Danio rerio: one gene and its partner. The protein of the gene in region 1 purifies or fractionates together with the protein of each later gene. This does not show direct contact. Links are inferred from orthologs where the notes say so. Each region holds a gene or a part of one and is shown in the gene's direction. Other genes may lie near its edges. The genes, in order: rnf139 and insig1.

The links.
Region 2: the proteins of rnf139 (region 1) and insig1 purify together in Homo sapiens (affinity purification with western blotting, with the first as the bait; 3 studies listed by BioGRID). This does not show direct contact. The link is inferred for Danio rerio from reciprocal best matches to the Homo sapiens genes RNF139 and INSIG1.

The regions. Positions count from the first base shown.
Region 1 is NC_133194.1:333,821-343,286, forward strand, and holds the end of rnf139 (E3 ubiquitin-protein ligase RNF139), read left to right. Parts: coding exon 1-67; intron 68-988; coding exon 989-2,820; 3' UTR 2,821-2,955; exon of another isoform or gene 2,956-4,444; 3' UTR 4,445-5,098; downstream 5,099-9,466. Other genes in the region: tmem65 (transmembrane protein 65), read left to right, coding at 6,576-6,795. UniProt on the Homo sapiens protein: E3-ubiquitin ligase; acts as a negative regulator of cell proliferation through mechanisms involving G2/M arrest and cell death.
Region 2 is NC_133182.1:41,356,677-41,367,546, reverse strand, and holds insig1 (insulin-induced gene 1 protein), read left to right. Parts: upstream 1-4,775; 5' UTR 4,776-4,934; intron 4,935-5,099; 5' UTR 5,100-5,105; coding exon 5,106-5,439; intron 5,440-6,052; coding exon 6,053-6,177; intron 6,178-6,792; exon of another isoform or gene 6,793-6,976; coding exon 6,977-7,143; exon of another isoform or gene 7,144-7,360; coding exon 7,361-7,460; intron 7,461-9,342; coding exon 9,343-9,372; 3' UTR 9,373-10,149; downstream 10,150-10,870. UniProt on the Homo sapiens protein: Oxysterol-binding protein that mediates feedback control of cholesterol synthesis by controlling both endoplasmic reticulum to Golgi transport of SCAP and degradation of HMGCR.

The DNA.
Region 1 (9,466 bases):
AACTCGTACTCTGATCCCGGTACCGGATGGAGCGGCGCCGCCGGGAGAGCCCTGATCCGCGCGCTGGGTGAGTGCGGGATTCCATACCGGTGTTAAATCTGCTCTTTTAGGCTTTCTGCTTATCAGCTTATAGCGCTGAAAACACCGGGCCTCAAAACACCACCGACTGACGGACTGACTGACAGCTCGAGCCGCGCGCGTGTTGAGGAAACGGAAACCTGACAGATTCATGCACTGCTGTAGAGCTGACCCTCCACTACACACACACACTCACAATTATATATACTATACACAACATATCAACAATGACACTGCTCATTCAGACAACACATACACAACATCCAAACTACATATCACAACTCAACACACACAGATGACCAGACATACACAGCATATAGACAACATAACAACACTGACACTGCTCAACACACTAACATACACAGATGACGAGAGGTGTACTAAAACATTCAGACAACATATAGACAACATATCAACACTATCAGAGCTCAACACACTAATACACAAAGACGAGAGATGATCTGAAATGTTCAGACAACTAGAGATGTACCGATTCCCCCGACTCACGATTCATAATACAATTTATTTACAAGATAATCTAAAGTAAATTTAAGGTGACGCGTCCTTCATTCTGTTCTTAAACGCAGACATTTTTTGCAAAACGATATATTTTCTGGCATAACTAAATTGCTATTAAAAACAGAATAATATAAACTACTGAAGACTAATAAACTACTAACCCTAATGCAAATACACCAGCTCACACAGTAGCTGATTGCTGACTAATTTCATTGGCTGACGCTGCTATGACGATCGCGTCAGACACTTCAGACACGCCCTCTGTCAAGGGTTGATGCTGAAGCCCATGTGAATCGAGCATATATGGTGCAGATTATGGATGCTGAATGATGTATTGTGCAGCTCTACTGTATCCGTGCTGATTCTCAGTGTTCTGCTGTCTGTCCTGCAGGTATTGTGGTGTCCGGTGTGGTTCTGGTGCTTTCCCAGAAGTCCCTGTTCAAGTTCTACACGCTCTTCATGGCTGTTCTGCTGGGCGCGGCGTCAGTGCTGGTCAACTACTACGCCACGGCACACGCCGACTTCTACAGCGCATACAACAGTGCTGCAGTGCTGCCGCGGGACGGGCCGACGCTCTGGCTAGCGTTAGCGCTGATGCAGCTGCTGCTGGGGTTGGGCTATGTGGCGCTGCTGCGCGTGCGGTCGGTGTGCGCTGCTCTCCTGCTGCTGGACATCATGGCGCCGCTGTGGGGGCTGATACTGGAGCTGCCGGCCGACATGAAGCAGGTGCTAGCGATAGCATCAGGAGTGATCTTAGCAACACACGCCGCGCTAAACCTGCTGCTGAAGCTGAAGTGGTTCTACTACTCCTGCCGCTACGTCTACCTGCTGCTGCGCCACATGTACCGCATCTACGGCCTGCAGCTGCTGCTGGAGGACACCTGGAAGCGCATCCGCTTCCCTGACATCCTGCGCGTGTTCTGGCTAACCCGCGTGACCGCGCAGGCCGTCATCCTGCTGTACGTGGTGCGCGTGGTGCGCTCTGAAAGCGGCATGCAGCTCGGATGGGACGTGTTGTGGGATTTGTCCAGTAATCTGATCATTAGCGGCTGCGACTCGACGCTAACTGTCCTCGGGATGAGCGCAGTCATATCATCTCTAGCGCATTACTTGGGTCTTAGCATCCTAGCGTTCATCGGCTCCACAGAGGAGGAGGATAAGCGGCTGGGGTTTGTTGCGCCCGTGCTGTTCTTCATCCTGGCGCTGCAGACGGGTCTAAGCGGCCTGGACCCCGAGGAGCGGCTGGTGCGGCTCAGCAGGAACATGTGCCTTCTGCTAACGGCGATTCTGCATTTCATCCACGGGATGACGGATCCGGTGCTCATGTCTCTCAGCGCGTCGCACGTGTCGTCAGTGCGCAGACATGTGCCGGTTCTGCTCGTGTCGCTAGTTCTGTTTACGCTGCCGGTCCTGCTCAGTTTCCTGCTGTGGCATCATTACGCGCTCAACACGTGGCTGTTCGCCGTCACGGCGTTCTGCATCGAGCTGTGTCTGAAGGTTCTGGTGTCGCTCACGGTATACGCGCTGTTCATGATGGACGGGTTCTACAATGTGCTGTGGGAGAAGCTGGACGATTACGTCTACTACGTGCGCTCTACTGGCAACGTGATTGAGTTCATATTCGGCGTGATCATGTTCGGAAACGGGGCGTACACGATGATGTTTGAGTCGGGGAGTAAGATCCGCGCGTGCATGATGTGCCTTCATGCGTATTTTAACATTTACCTGCAAGCCAAAAACGGCTGGAAAACGTTCATTAACCGGCGCACGGCTGTCAAGAAGATCAACTCTCTGCCGGAGGTGCGAGGCTCGCGGCTGCGGGACATCGAGGACGTCTGCGCCATCTGCTATCAGGAGTTCGGCTCGTCGGCGCGCATCACGCCCTGCAGCCATTACTTCCACGCGCTCTGCCTGCGCAAGTGGCTGTACATCCAGGACACGTGCCCCATGTGCCACCAGCGCGTCTACATCGAGGACGACACCAGCGAGCGCTCCACCTTCTCTAATAATAACGGATACGGGGCAGCAGGACAGGAGAGGGCGGAGTTTGAGGAGAATGAGGGTGGAGCTGAGGACGGCGTGGCTGCGGCAGGGGCGGAGCCTGAGAACGAGCTGCTGGAGGATAATGACAGTATTGAGTATGACGAGGAGGAGTGGGGAACGCAGCCCGGCGTCACGCTCATCGAGGAGGACTACATTAATGACGACACAGACTCCAACTGAACCAGCGGGGATATTTAAGATCAGGGACGTTGTGTATTTTTTAGATCTGTGGCCAGAAATTGTTCGAGAAATCCATTCTGCATTGATCCTGAGATTTTTGAATTGCGTCGCTTTTTTCGCTTGAATTAATTCTGAGCCTAGTTTACAACAGTAGATGGCGCTCTAGGCTAGTTTACAGCAGCAGATGGCACTCTAGGCTATTTTATAAAAGCAGATGGTGCTCTAGGCTGTTTTAAAACAGCAGATGGTGCTCTAGGCTGTTTTAAAACAGCAGATGGCGCTCTAGGCTGTTTTAAAACAGCAGATGGCGCTTTAGGCTAGTTTACAACAGTAGATGGTGCACTAGGCTATTTTATAAAAGCAGATGGTGCTCTAGGCTGTTTTAAAACAGCAGATGGCGCTGTAGGCTGTTTTAAAACAGCAGATGGCGCTCTAGGCTGTTTTAAAACAGCAGATGGCGCTCTAGGCTAGTTTACAACTGCAGATGGTGCTCTAGGCTAGTTTACAACAGCAGATGGTGCTCTAGGCTAGTTTACAACAGCAGATGGTGCTCTAGGCTAGTTTTAATAGAGCAGATGGAGCTCTAGGCTGTTTTAAAACAGCAGATGGCGCTCTAAGCTAGTTTACAACTGCAGATGCCGCTCTAGGCTAGTTTACAACAGCAGATGGTGCTCTAGGCTAGTTTTAATAGAGCAGATGGAGCTCTAGGCTAGTTTTGAACATCAGCAGGGTGCTGTCTGCAGTAAAAAACGAGCCTAGAGCATGTGTTACTTTTAAAAAAAACTAGCCTAGAGCGCGATCTGCTTTATTAATACTAGCTTTGAGTGCCATCTGCTGTTAAACACTAGCCTACAACAGCATTAGCTGGTGTAATATAGCCTAAAACACCATAGAGCAGATGTTGCTCTAGGCTAGTTTCTAACAGCAGATGGTGCTCTAGGCTAGTTTCTAACAGCAGATGGCTCTCTAGGCTGTTTTTATTAGTGCACATGGCGCTCTAGGCTAGTTTTGAACATCAAATAAGACGGTACCTGCAGTTAAAAACTAGCCTAGAGCATGTTTTACTTTTTTAAAACACTTGCCTAGGGCGCTATCTGCTGTTAAAAACTAGCATAGAGTTCCATCTGCTGTTAAACACTAACCTACAACGCCATCTACTGGTGTAATATAGCCTAAAACACCATAGAGCAGGTGGCGCTCTAGGCTAGTTTCTAACAGCAGATGGCGCTCTAGACTAGTTTTTACCAGCAGCAGATGGCGCTCTAGGCTAGATTCTAACAGCAGGTAGCGTTCTAGGCTAGATTCTAACAGCAGATGGCACTCTAGACTAGTTTTTTACCAGCAGCAGATGGCGCTCTAGGCTAGTTTCTACCAGCAGATGGCGCTCTAGGCTAGTTTCTAACAGCAGATGGCGCCCTAAGCTTGCTTTTAACATCAAGTGGGGCGTTATCTGCTGTTAAAAACTAGCCTAGAGCACCATTTGCTATTAAACACTAGCCTGCAACGCCATCTACAAGTGTAATATAGCCTTAAACACCATCTGGTGTTAAACACTAGCCTAGAGCGCCATCTGCTGTTTAAACTTAGCCTAGAGTCCTTATGCAATTAAAAACTAGCCTAGAGCGCCATCTGCTGTTAAAAGACTAGCCTAGAGCATCAACCCCTAGTAAAAACAAGCCTAAAGCGCCATCTGCTGGTAAAAACTAGCCTCGCAATCCTGAATAGTAATGTATTTTGAGAGGCTCCATGTCAATACAGAATCGTTTTCTCCAATGATTTCTCGACCACAGTTCTAGTATTTTCGTTGTGTTCGTATTAAAAGGGCTGATCATGTGTTTTTCCTGGAGCGCTCTTGCCGATGTTTGGCTGAAGGAGTGAACGCTGAAGAGTGACGCGCTACTGTAATGGCAGTATACCTCCGTATGATCACTACTGGTCTCTTGTGTGACCTCTCGTATAATTGTGTACATTATTGTACATGTAATAAAAGAATGATACACTGACGTAAGACTGCAGAAAGCTGAATCAGCTGTTCATCTCAGCTCCGCCGCTCTCTTCTCACACGCTGTTGCTTTCTGAACACAACTTACAATGCAAATAACAACACATTTCACCATAAACAGAGTACAGCGGTTGGCTTTTCTGATTAAATTCACGATTAAAATGTTTGATTTCAGGTTTAAATGTTGATTTGCCAAGAGGACTGATGTACAGCAATGATCAGCTTTAGTTCTTTTGTAAATAAAAGTTAATTGAGCTGAAGTTCAAGAGGAATCTGGAACTTTGCACTTGATTATATTTTTTTGAATGCTCCTGTTTGTGTTTGTTTTCTCTCAGGTTTTATTTTAATTGATTATATATATATATAACATTTGTTTTAACATTTCAGTTAAATTTAGTATTTAATCTAAATAATGATATTAAAGAAAAAAATATGCCGTCATATTTGACATATTATAAAACTCTATTTAAAGGTCACAGTTTGACTGAAAATACTCATTATTAATTATTAGTATGATTCAAATCAGTAGCATTTACACACCATCATAAAGTCAAACATAATCACGTTTAATTGATTCTGTGACATATTTTAATAGGCAGAGTTCAGAATATGTGTGTGGTTTAATTTTATCCTATACCTTCGTTAAATGAAGGACAAAGATCATCAATCTGCCCATATTTTGACATTTATTTATAACTAAATTTATTTAAAACATTAAAGCTGTCAAGTTATTAAAGGATTTAATAGATGTTATGTGTATATAAATCAATTTTGCACATTTAATATGATTGACACCATTAATGTGATGTCTTTTCTTTGACCCATAGAGTTTTATTTCTTTAATTAATGTTAAATAATGTGCACTTTCATTCAAATGTATTAAAAATGTATTATTTATATTTAAAAAATCATACATTTATTATCAGTTATACTTTATAATGAGTAAAAGGTGCACAAATTAGCTTGTAAAACATGAATGAATGTAAAGATAAATGCAGTATAAACACTATGTAGTGAATGAGGTTATATTTGATGTCTGACCTATGAATTTTAATATTTAAACTATTAATCTTTGTGTATTTTATTTTAATGGTTCATTTCTCCAAATTAGTAACAGTTTTATCCCACTTTTTGAACTAAAGTACAATTTAAGACAGAATATGTTGTGAAAATGTTGTATTGTGCATTAATAGTTACCTATATTATTTTAGTCTATGATATTTAGTCGTAATAAATATATCGTTTTCTGTTTAAAATATATGTTTAATATAATCTTCAGTTGATTTGTTGTATATCCGCGCTCATTTCATCATAGGAAACTAGAGAAGGTGAATCTGAGCTTCAACTTTGACCTTTAGGTGTTGTTTTTCTGCTCATCAGCAAGACTAAACTACATTTCCCATAGCGCTTCCGTCTCTCGGAACTACACTTCCCATCATGCAACAGCAGCGCGATCTTGAGCGTCAGAGGAGCCCGTGGAAAGTCAGTCAGTCAGTCATATAAATGAATCATAATAACGCTGGAATAAGCGCATAACGGCCGCGTGTTTTACTGTAAATAGTAACGGCAAATGGACGCGGTTTGCTGAGGCGCGTCTGGTGTGAGTGTGTGACGGTAACGGTGTTGTGAGGCGCGGGTTGGGTCGCTCGGTGAGGCCGGTGTGTGTGTGTGAATGACGGGAGTGTCTGTGATCATGATCTAACGTTAGAATAGTCGGTGTTTTTCTCTGCTCGTGTGTGTTTCTCGCGCTCTGATGATCCGCTCGGTGTTGCTGCGCGCGCTCGCGGCTCGCCCGCCGTCCGCTCCGGTTCCCGGTCACCTGCACAGATGTTTGCTCGGGACTCACCGGCGGAAAATTAAACCCGAACAGCTGGAGTTACCGAACCAGACGCGGGAGTTCGTGTACAGCCTGAGCCCGGAGACCCGGAGCCGCCTCCTGAAGGAGCTGCAGACCTTCGAGTCCAAGACGGAAGGTAAATTAACGGGCATAGATTACTATGGTAAAGCCCTGAAGTGATGTAAAGTTAGGATTATATAACAAAGTGACGACTTGTGACACGCTACCCATATTGTTCACCATGCTAACGTTACTCTGAATATTGGGATGATGTGAATTAGCACGCAAGTATGACTTTAAAACAGCTTTAGCACTATTTAAAGTCCACATGAAATCAAAACTAACCATTATGGATTCTGTTAGCTCACACTGCCAACAACTCATCTGTGCAGGTCATTAAGAAAAACAAAATAGTTTGCCCTTCTAATCTTTAATTGAAGTCTGAACATGCTCTTCTGTTTGTTTTATGTTAAATTCTCAGAATACCTCTGTATTGGGCGTGGTTAACATACTTAACCACGCCCCTTAAACTGTCAACAATCAGAAATGGTGAAGAGGAGGAGGAGTCTGTTAGGTTGGAATAGCTCTTAACCCTTTTCCCCATATTTCTAAATAAAAGGCCTGCTTTATTACATCCAATCAGCTTGCAGTACAAAAAACAAACCACGCCCACTGTTGTCTTATTCAATATTCTATTTGTCAAACTGTGCTTCAATACAAAAATAAAAACAAACAGTTGCAGCATCCGGACTTTAAAGTTCCCGCGAAGTGTTTTTGCAATTTTTAGTTACTGTTTGACATAATCTCAACTGAAATATAAATATAATAGCCCCTCCCCTTTTTTCAACAGCGAAAAGCATCAAAGTCCCTCTAAGGCAAGTCATTTCACTTGGCGGCCATTTTTGAAATGCCTCTCGGCAAGGATTGCTTGCGCATTCTGTTTGAATGGTTTGAATCATATCCAAAACTACTAGCCAAGCTTACGATTACCTTTCATTTTACGAGTTAAACAACAACTGTCTCTCTAGTTTCATTTCTAAATGTTCGTATCATACAAAATCTACAGAAACTCACGTCTGGTCCAAGCCCCTCCCCCAGAGAATTTTCACTCTATTGCGATCGCTGATTGGCTCCTGTACTAGAAGGCGGGCTTTATTTGCCATATAGTGATTGCTGATTGGCTCCTGTACTAGAGGGCGGGGCTTCACTCGCCATATTGACAGTTACACTTGTACTCATTCAGTAAATGACCTGTCTTGTGTATTCTATAGTCTTTGATCCAACGGACATTAAAGCTCCCGTGAAATGTTCCTGCATTTTTTCATTCAATGTCTGACGTAATCTCAACCAAAATATGAAGGCCCCTCCCCTTTTTATCACAGCTCTTAGCGAGAATGGTTGAGATCAAGCACACCAAATGAAAAGCCAATCAGAAGAAGGGATGAGGCATGAAAGGCTACTAGAGAGCATTTGATTGGTCAGAAGATTTGATGTATGAGGAGACCCGAAAAAAAAGCTTGATCCATTTAGGTGGAAGAGACAAACTGTAAACTGTAGATGTTTATATCAGGTTTATATCTGCTACATGAGAATTTTGTCTGTTGTGTAGACACTAGATTATAGAGATCCTAACATCCAAACATTTTATTTTACGTTCATGGGACCTTTAACGTTTGACTGATCAGTGGTGTATTTTAATAATCGTTGTCTGCTAATGTGATTTCTCTATATAGAATACTTGTGTTTTGAAGGAGAAAGTCAGAATGTGTGATTTTAAACCAACTTTAAACCCTGAGTGTGTATGAGCACAGTGAGAGTTCAGTATCTCACAGCAGCCTGAGGTGTCCTAACCCAAACTTAACCAGACTTGTTGACCAGATAACCACCCGCTGGCTTAACCATTCACCATCTGATGCCAGCAGTACATGTGTATGTGGTGTCAGTGCTGAGTTTGGCTAAAGGTGTGCTCTGGGGCTGCACAATATATGGTTCAGGGTTCATACTGGAGCTTTGACATGGCATTTTCCAGGCCTGGAAAAGTTTTGGAAAAACAGAAAAACCCACAAAGTTTTGGAAAATTCATGGAATTTTAGTAGTAAAAATGTGTATGAACCCTGCTGGATGGATATCACAGTCACATCACAGGATCTGCAGTGTTGAGTCTGGATTATAGTTGATCATCTGCGTGTGTTTTTGAGGATTTTAAAAACACTCCAGCATGAGAAATTGTACTGTTTGTAACCTTAATAATGATTCATTTTATTTCTGAAATGAGGATAATGTATTTTACACTTGATTATCAAATCACCCAAAGCATTCTGCTGTGTTGTGTTCTGATGTGGTGTTTGTCTGTTGTAGCTGTGAAATATCTCTAATCATTCAGCGGAGTGATATGGATCTGTAATGCACTGTAAACCTGCCGGAACTACTTTAGCTGTGCCTGACTATAACCAAACACCTGAGAATTAATCCACAATTAATCCAAAAAAGATGGCGATCTCGATTCGACCCCCTAGACGATCTTAATCCAGCATTTCTACAATTCTGCCAATCATATTTTCAAGTTCAGGAGAGAAGCAAAGGCGGCCGCACGAGTCTTTTCAGTGTTTTACATACATTGCTCAGCGACTTGGACACCTCCAAATGATGTAAAAGTGTCACATACTGTATTTATAAGGTATAATTCACCTATAAGTGTCATTTCTGTCTTAATATAATGCTGTGTTTGGGAAATCACGTGACGTGAGCTGCTATCACAGAGAGTCTAATGATAGACGCGCACACATTACTTTAGTGAACAGAACCTG
Region 2 (10,870 bases), on another chromosome or scaffold:
TCTCCCAGCTCAACAATATAAATGTGCTTATTTTACTCTTGGGCAATATAAACGATTGCAGGATAATATGATTGATGAAGCAGATATTTGTATGTGTAATTTGTCATGGATTTATTTAAGTATAAGCCAGTCCTGGGACAAAGACTTCCCCAGTCTCAGAAGGTTTCTCACTTCCGTATATGCATAAGATTGTACAGAGTTTTTTCAACTGCTGCTGCCTTTGGCACTATTCTTTGTAAAGCTGCTTTGGAACAATGTGTATTGAGAAAAGCTTTAGAAAAAGAAACCAAACTGAATGGAAAAATTTAATTAGATCCGGCATTTAACAGGGATCAAAGAATGGATCCTCAGTACCTGCCATTGTAGCACAGTATATGAGACACGTATCTGGGTTAAGGCCAGAGATACTGCTTGTGCTTGATTAACAGTCAACACAACTGTTATGTACATATCCGCTATGTATATGTTGTTTTTGTACCTGCGTATCTATGATCATGTTAGCACAGTTATGCAATCACGTCCTCACATGAACGATAAGACATGTTGAGCATGCTGCCTTTAAGCCTATAGATGTAGAGGATACTACCGTCAACTGCGTCAGTTGTTTCAATATTTCACCACTCACAATAATAATCAATAGGTTTTTACTACAACAATGACAGCCTCTGGATCCAAACATGGCCAAGGTTTATATTTAAAAAGAAGTAAAAAAATAATCAGAATGGGCTTTGTCATTGACCTTGAGAAGGTGTTTGTGTTTTTGATTTTACTCATAATTGTTTTTTTTTAAAGGTATAAACTTTAAAACTGTGACGGGTAACATATTTTTCATGTGCTACATCACAGGTGTCAATTCGAATTCCTGGAGGGCCTTAGCTCTTTACAGTTTAGTTCCAACCCTGCCTCAACCCACTTACCTGTAGGTCTCAAACAAGCCTAAAGAACTTAATTAGTTTGATTAGGTGTGTTTAAATAGGGTTGAAACTAAACTGTGCAGAGCTCTGGCCCTCCAGGAACTAGAATTGACACCTGTGTGCTACATACATTCTTAGGCTAAGTGCTGGTCACACAAACTATCAGCCTAATTTTAAACCCCACAATGACTGAGACTATGACCAATTCAAGACTCGTTGCAACAAACCTTTTTATTCATTCATTCATTCAATTTCTTTTCGACTTAATCCCTTTATTAATCTGAGGTCGCTAGAGTGGAATGAACCACCAACTTATCCAGCATGTTTTATGCAGCAGATGCACTTCCAGCCACAACCCATCACTGGGAAACTTCCATACACACTCATTCATTCACACACACTCAGACACTACGGTCAATTTTAGCTTACCCAATTCACCTGTACTAAATGACTTTGGACTTGTGGGATAAAACGGAGCATCCAGAGAAAACTCACGCGAACACAGGGAAACATGCAAACTCCACACAGAAATGCCAAGTGACCCAGCTGAGGCTGGAACCAGCGACCTTCTTGTTATGAGGTGAACATACTACCCCCTGCTCCACTGCAAACTTGTTAATAAAAATACTCAATTGTACTGAGGATTTTTTTACTGCTGGATGCCAAACCGTAAATAATAAACATGTCTAATAATTAAGACTTTAGTCGCACAATATAAGAGGCATGATGTTGATCTTCCTAAATTTTAGTTTTTAAAGGGCACCTATTTTACACCCTTCACAAGATGTAAGACAAGCCTTTGGTGTCTCCAAAATGTGTCTGTAAAGTTTCAGCTCAAAATACCCATCTGATTATTTATTAAAGGTTCAGGAAACCCTCGAGCACTTTTTTTTTGTTGTTGAGGTTTTTAAAGATTTGTTGATCATCAAAAAAAAAACAAATGTAGCAGGGCATTATATTACTGTTTATTTCTTTGCATTTTAACTTTGGAAACCTTAAAATCATGGATCTCCTCAAGGTTTGTGTCTCATTTTGTGTTGCCAACTGACAACAGTTCCCCTCCTTCTCCCCTGCTCTGCTGGCCACACCCACTCCTGCCTCTGCTCAAGGAGCTCCACACCCATTATGATGCTTTTTTTTAAATTTCTGAGGTAGACTTAAACCGTAAGTGGGGGGGTTCATGGCCCTTTAAAGCCTCCAGAATTTGCCCATTTTTGGTGTCTAAATACAGTGTAGCTGTTTTTGTAGCCTGTGGCTTTAAATGCAAATGAGCTTCTTCTCTCTGCCCACCTTCCCATGTGTGTGTCTGCTTCTGATCATGCGGTATGTCAGATAAACAGCACAGCGACAGAGACAGACTTGAATAAAGCTGAAATACAGTTATTCATCAAAAATACCAAGTTTATTTCATGTATTTGTGGTGGAGTTTTTTCAAGCCTTCCTGAAATTATGAATCTCACACAAATGCTGTTTGCAGTACACACACACACACACACACACACACACATTATGTTTACTGACACGATACAGTCGTGGTGAATATAGTGGTTAAGAATTGGATAGCATTTTACTGTCTTAATTCCAAACATGCTGTTTTAAAAAAGTTTTAAACTTATAAAAATCACTGAAAGTTGTAACAGATATTTTACTCCCAATTTATTTGCAAAACTCTCAGACTGCTTTTGAACATTCCAACATGTGCGTACTTATAGTCTGCAGGAACCTTAGGTCTTAAACAGACTTCAGTATTATGACATAATTCCAGCTGAAACAGAGTATTAGAGAAAAGGGTTTCACTTCAGCGCTTTACTTTATTAGCCGATTATTAAGAATATTGTGATTTCCAAAGAAGCGTCTTTCCAGAGCAGAAGCTAATGGAGTGGAGATAGACACGTTTACATGGAAATCAGTAATCAAATTATTTCTGAATATGGCAATATTATGATTAAGGTGTTTATGAGTAGCTTTTTGAATGTTCCTTTCATGATCCTGTTTTACATGTTATAGCACAAAATTCGATTATAACGTCATCACGCTATCCACATTTCCACATTTCCTCCGGAGTAATGTAATTTGATGTAATTTCGGGTGTTTCATTTTTAATTTGTTGACTTCAACTACAGTTTGACTCTTTCACTTTCATTCAGGAACATTTCATTCATGCCCCCTGTGACAAACAAGATATTGGATGAGATTAACAGCTGGAAGAGTGTTGTTTTAATATAATTTGATATCGCAGTTTGCCATCTTAATTAACATAAACAAAGAACACTGATCGCTTACCAAAACTAGACAGGACAATCAACATCAACTAGAACCGCGTTTTTTTTAAAAGAAGGAAAGCGGCAAATCTGGATTTCACCATTTCCAGATGTGAAAAGCTCATCTGGTAAAAAAAACACTGACGATCCATATCTCCAAACAATTCTTCTTCTACTACTTGTTTTAATTATGGTTGGTCATCTGGGCACTGTAACAGGTAAAAACCGTCTTTGAACTATATCATGCATATTAATGAAGTTGCACCTCATTCACAGTAGAGCGCGCTGATTGGTTCGAACCAAGTCTTTGTAATGAATTTATGCTGAAAACTCAGACATCATGTTGTACCGGTTCAGACATCCAGTCTCCATGCTGGAATTTACACTATGATCTCATGGCCGTAACGCAGCTTCAAAATTTCTTTTTAAATCTGAAGAATGAATTGGCTCAAATATTGCAAAACCCACCAATTTTCACTTTTTTGTGAAATATATGTGTCCTAATAGTGTTTTAGCAACGTGAGTCATATTTATGATTGTCAACATCTCAAAAAAATGTGTTTTGGTGTTTCGTGACTCGTTAACATCCACAGCACGTTTCCATTGCACATAAGTTTCTCTGTTGAAAAAAGGTTCATTAATGTGTTTAGGATGTCTTTCACACCAATAAAATAATGCTTCTTTTCTGAACTTTCATCAACACAAAAGCTTTTTAGATATCAAAAATGGTTATTTTCTAGCACTGCAACGAAAAGCCCATTTTGGAACCTTTATTGTAAAAACAGCAGCTAAAGAGTTGTTGACAGTCATTCTTGACAAGGGGCAAACATCAGACTCATTTATCTGGTGAGGAGTGGTTCCACTGAGGTAAGAGACTGAACTCTGTTCTGCTCTGAATCAATAAACTATAAGTACACAAGTTTATTTACAGTGGGGGAACAGCCCACTGAGCATCATGACCTGATTTCTTGTTTTCAGTCTCACGGACACGTACTGCACGCTGTCACGTATAGCCAACAAATCCGCATTATCTCATACACTTTCAGGGCCTGTTCACTCATAGTGAACTAAAAAAAAGTTCATATCAGCAAAAAGCTTTCTTGTCTGTACCCTGAAAAGATTACAAATACATTTACCCAACAAGTAGTTTGTTTTGTGCAAACAGGAGAACAGCAATATTGAACACTGAGAAAATCTCGAATCAGTGCTGTATTGCTTAGTTACTGAAAAGGATTTAGCAAAGCAAGGTCATTAAACTTAACCAATCTAGAAGTTTAAGACTTTTCTGCATGACTCTGGCATAGCGTCAACACACACACACACACACACACACACACACACACACACACACACACACACACACACACACACACACACACGCACACGCACACACGCACACGCACACACGCACACGCACACACACACACACACACACACACACAAGGCGAACAGCTGATGGCGAACATCAACAGCGCGTGTCTGTCAGAGAGGGGTGGCGCGCGTTCGCGTCATATGGCCCGCCGCACTCTGATTGGCTAGAGAGACTCACCAGACATGACCGCGCTTGTTTTCTGCAGAGGAAGCGCGCGTGTGGCAGTGTTCAACTGAGGGATGAAAAGAGGCAGCAGTATTTCTCTTACAGATGATGTGATCAAACAACACATCTAAACTATTTGTAGGTAGCCTTTCGTTTTTGTAAAAGAGTTTTGAAAGCACAGACGTGTTCTGCTTTAGACGAAGACATCGCTAAAAGATCAAGGTGGGTAGCCTATTCATTCCCTTTACTTCCACTTCATACTCATTGGGAACAGATTGTTTTTTGGGCTACAGCACTGCTTTTTGTAGCGTAATACTTGACTTTCAACATTATTTTATTTGATCAAGTTAGTGATAATTATTAATGAGTATTACTGTTTTCCAACAGTGCCAAATGCCAAGACTAGAGGAACATTGTTGGAGCTGCTCCTGTTCGACCAGTGTGAAGACGAAGGACCTGTCAAGCGCCGGCTGGATTGTCTGTAAAACGGGTGAAATGATGTCCATCATAACCTCAGTGCTGAGCCACGCGTACGGCTCTCTGCACAGCCTCCAGTCCGCCAATTTAATTCGACGGGGGCTTGTGTTGTTTATCGTGGGAGTTGTGCTCGCTTTGGTGTTAAACTTGCTACAGATCCAGAGAAACGTTACATTGTTTCCAGAGGAAGTGCTGGACACGCTATTTTCGTCCGCCTGGTGGATTCCCCTCTGCTGTGGCACCGCTGCTGGTGAGTCTGTCTGAAACACTTGGGCTCGAATGCTTTGTTCGTGACGATAACAAACAAAGACGGTGTGCTTGCTGAGGGCTTTTTGTTATCGTGTCTTTTATGTAAGATGAGTGATTCGGGGACAGTTTTGTTGACATTGGGCTTTGTAGCTATCAGTAAGCGCTGCCCTGGTAACAGCCGGGCATTTGGGGTCATTCTTGGGGTGCTGCATTCTCATTGGCTGCGCTCAGAACGGGTGAGCTGCGAGAGAGGCACGCCATTGGCTGGTACGCCGAACATGCCACTTACCCGAAAAGAGAAACACGGAAGTCGTGTGCAGCAGAAATTAATAAATAATTCGGTCACGCTCGACTCCTCCCCCTGCATTCCTCATAGTGGTGATGTGGACGCGTATCAGTTTACATCCTTTTCAGTAGAAAATGCCTTTTAAAGAGTTTTGTTGTACTTGAACTCTTCTTATGAGATTTATTTAAACACAAAAGTCATCACCCATTATTTATATACTAAAAGGCGTCAAACAATACCAAGCAGATGTAAAAAATGTTTTTTTCTTCTTCTTTTTTCCCCCTTTCAATGAATGTTGTTTAAAGTACTTTCTGTTTTCTCTTCTCAGCTGTGGTTGGTCTGTTGTACCCCTGCTTGGACCACCATCTTGGAGAACCACACAAGTTCAAGCGGGAGTGGGCAAGCGTGATGCGCTGCATTGCTGTCTTTGTGGGCATCAATCACGCCAGTGCTGTATCCTTAACAGTGACACTTTTACAGTTGCAACCATTGTGGACAATGAAAACTTCCAAACCTTTTTGAGATTTTTGTTTTAAGTCTGTAATAAGCCATGTTACTATTCAATAGCATTAGACAAATCCTTTTTTTTCTTAATCTCTTAACTGTCACATATTTATTTGTTTTTGTCTGAACCTGAATTTATCTTGACAAATTATACATCAAAGGCTAAACTAAAAAAGTGGGGTGACCCGTTAAAGTACTAAACATATTTACACAGCAATAATCTATGCAACGAGAATTATGCTTATCTAATATTTTTAAAAAGTCTTATGTATTGAGGATAGTTGTAATAACGCTGAAAAATGACTAGAAATGCTCAGTACTCTGACCCGGCCAGAAGTTGAAAACTCTGCACACGATATCATTTAACCTTTTTTAAGTTTTGTTTTGACGACTCTGAGTCTGTGTTTTTGGGTAAATGAACAGCAAAAATGCATAAAAGTTTTTATTTTTTGTTGTCATGTAAATATACCTTAAAACTTTACATTAACTCTGAACTCAAACAGTAACATGCACTTCATTGCCAAGAAACCCCATGTAAATGAGAACTGGGTTTTTTAAGAACTAAAAAAAAAAGTTTTTAATAAATTTGACTACAAAGTTTTTGTGGAACCTGTTTACTGCTCTCCAAATGTGTGGACCAGCAAAAACTTGGGAACCTGCACAAACTCAATTCTTGAGTTAACATCACAATGTTTTCAAAATGTATGTTAACATAAGAATATTTTGCTTAACTCAAAGTACCTTACAGAAACTGGACTTTGCTAACAATGTGCAGCTATCGCTAACTCTGGCTGCCCTGTCTCTGGGTCTGTGGTGGACATTTGACCGCTCCAGGAGTGGCTTTGGTTTAGGGCTGACCACTGCCCTGCTGGCCACTCTCATTGCTCAGCTGCTGGTCTACAACGGCATCTACCAGTAAGTTATGACTCAAACATGTTGACAAACAGCAACAGAAAACTGTTTTCATATCAACTAGCAAGTAACTAACACTCTCACATATTCATAATTTTAGTCGTAGAACATGTTTTTTTTGTAAGAAACATTAGCAAATATTATATCAAGTGCAAACACTCAGTTTTGTTTTTCCTTTAAGCAGCTCGTCATTTCAGTCCTTTTCTTCATTTGTTACCAGGTATACTTCTCCAGACTTCTTGTATGTCCGTTCATGGCTGCCTTGTATATTCTTCTCTGGCGGAGTGACTGTTGGAAATATTGGCAGACAACTAGCTATGGTAAGAAACTGCCCCTCATACCAGCCCCCTTTTCCAGTCTTTCATATTCCACAGAATAACTGATGTACTTGATTACTCATGTATTGTGGTTAGTTTCCTCTTGTGTTATGCACAAAGCCAATGGCCACTTTTGTTTAGCTTAAAATAAATAAATGGCAGAAATGAAACTTAGCTTTAGCTAAAGCAAAAGTGAAACTCAATATCTTGGCTCATCAGCTATTCAGCTGTTCCTCTTCTACTTGTATCCAGCCTGCGTGTTTTAGGAAGTAAATCAAACTTGGAGCCAGAATATTTAACTCAACAATTTCAATGTGTACAATTTAGCATGCAGCCGTAAGCTCTGTTCAGACAGGATTATTTTCTAAATGACATTAAAAGACAGTCATTAAAACAGGACTTGTGGCTTTCATAAACTGATTCCAATTAGGTTGGGAATCAAGTTTAACATTAGCAAAAGGAAGTGTAAAGATGGCTTGGGTTATTGTATTTGATGAAGGTAAAACTATCTAGATGTGAACAAACTAGGTAGCTGAAAAGTGGCAGGCAGTTTGTATTGTAATATTCATTTATACTTATAAAAATAAGCTAACTAAGTTTTAAATCTGCCTTAAATAAATGAAAACTAGGATTTAGGATTTTTGTGCATTCTCTTAAATATGTATAAACTATTTTCAGTATCCAATGTATTTCTTTAAAGCAACCAGTTTACCATTTTAGTGTTCTTTTGACACCCTCTAGCGCCTGAGCAGAAACGTCATGCTTGGACATCTTAATTAGCTTGTTTGTGCCATCCCCTCCAAGCCTTCTCAGTCAGCTGTGGCTCTTTGTCTTGCTGACATACCCTAGTTCTTTCTCAATAAGGGCGTGAAAGAAGATTACGCTCCTTGTTTTTCATGCTAATGGTCAGAGAGATGGTAAACAAAGTGCTTTACTGGCTCCAAGTGGTGCATTCTACACGTTGTTACTGGATGCTTTTTGTTTTCGAGCTGGCATCGGCTGATTTTGCTTGACCAATTGGGATTAGTGCTCTGCTAGTATTTTTCCCAGCTTTCTTTATGGAGGGGCCAGTTAAGAGATAGAGTTGATTAAAAAAACTAGAGGTAAATAAATCTAGTAAACCCGGACGTTTGCGTTTGTTAATCTTTTCATGTAAATAATGGCTGTATTTTAGAATACAACTATGATCATCAATTATGGTCACTCTACATAGTTTGGTTTAACATCTGACTAATTAAATAGTTCGATATCTAGTTTACACCATTAACACCTTTACCTTTTTATCATCGTCATTTCGTTGTGTACTGTAGGTGCACTGGAATCATTTAGAGAACATTGCCTGTATATGAAACGTTGTCATTTTTATTTCAACATTAGCTTTCCTAAAGACGGATTCAGCTGCCCTTGGGTGAGGCATGGCAGACAGTGCTGACCTACGAGGGGCTATCAAATTTTACAAGGCTGCCCATCCACATATAATCCTAACATATACAAAGCCCATTTCTTATATATAGTGCATACTAATTATGGCCACAGTGTTGAGAGGCCAAGTGGGTTTAACGGGATCAGGCTCAGCTTCATGAAAACCAATTTTGAGTTGCTCAAAGCACATTTTTAAAAGCACACCTGGGAACATGCTGGAACATATTTAGGTAGTTTGAAAGTCAGCCAAGTGCTCTGACTAATACATAATAATATAGTCAGGATAGTTTCTGCATATTAATGCTGCTTTTTGGTTGTATTGTACGCTGGTGTAGTTTATGCCCATTCCTATATTTTATGGAAATTAGGGACTTAATGCAAATTGAGCTGTTTTTCAGTTGTATCTATTTGGTTGTGAATATACTGTATTTTCACCTAACAGACTGTCTGTCTTCTTCCACAGGGCTCGACTGAGAAGATTCATAATGACTAAACAGGTGTCAGAGGGCATGAAGTGAGCTTCGAAGAGTGCCAAAAAAGGACATCTGATATTCTATACTGGGCGTCCCTGGTGTCTATCCAAGCGTATCTTCTGCTTTTAATTTTGCTCCTCTTTATAACTATAAAAGAAAAGAAAGAGCGGGTTGGTCTGAGCTGGCCCAATGTGCCATGAACAACACCTCTGAATAGCCAAAAGATTCCCCCTGGCATTCATTACTACCATCAGCGTCATTATCGTCGTTGTTGTTGTTGTTGTTACAGCTCCTAGCAGTAGTGTTACGGTTGCTGAAGTGCCACTATAGGACTGTGAAAAAAAAATCATAGCTGGTTTCACTGACGATGAAACTACTTGTGAAACCACATCTACAATTGAGCGTGTGCTGGTCCTATGGATAAGACCAGGGGGAAAAAAGACAGTGTGAAAATTCACACTTTTTTAGTTTTACTTTGTGCTGGAGAACTGAAAGAAGAAATCAAAGGGAATAAATACAAGAATACCTAAAATATCCAAAGAGGTCTGTGTACTGTCTATATAGGATTAGTTGTAGTTTGATTTTTGAGCTACCCTTAAAGACTGACCACTTTGAGTATTACTATGAATACCAGAGAGCTTTGATTGCCAATCACATTTGTGCCGACTGGTTAGTGTAGTATACTGACTGAATTGATCGTGTTTTTACCATACTTTGTTGCTAATGTAAACCAAAAGTAAGACTAGAAACATTAGCTATCGAGACGTTAAGTGGCACCTTGAAGAAAGAGTCAAACAGAAGAAAAAAAACAAGGATGCTCTTTGTATTAATGTAAATTCACAATGTAGAATCATATAAAATGGTGTAATGAAGTCCTTTTAAAGTTTCTAAACCAAAAGGTTGGAAACTTTTGATAACTAAACATCAGGAAGACATTTTACTGCGGCCTCGAAGGTTTGCAATCTGTGATTGCCTTTGTATTATAGAATTAAGTGCTTTTGTCACTTTCACCCGTACAGTCAATTTTTTTATTTTATTTTTTTGTATTCTATTCATTGTGTATTGCTTTTCACCTGTAGCAGCTTCTCTGTCTAAATAAAGAGGTATCACTGGGCTAGTGTGCAGGTTTGGGGGTCTTAGCAAATTAAGTGCAATCACTTTCTTTGAGCCTGGTATTCTTTCATATTTATTACCTTTTACAATGTTAAGGAACCCCAGATGACTCATATGCAGTATAGTGGCAAACCAGCAATAATCACTTTGTTTATACGTACATACATGAAGGTGTAGTAGGATGGCAAACTCGTTTTTAAAAGAAGTCACACATGAAAGATAATCTTGCAAATGATACCAATGACCATTTCCACTGTTATGGGGAAAAAAAAAACATTGATGTTCATTGTCTTTACTAGCAGTAGTGAATTATTTTAAGCAAAATACTGTGCGCTGTATTTTGGGAATGTTTGATGAAGACCATGAGGGATATGTTTTAAAACCACGATAAAACGTTCCTCTCTG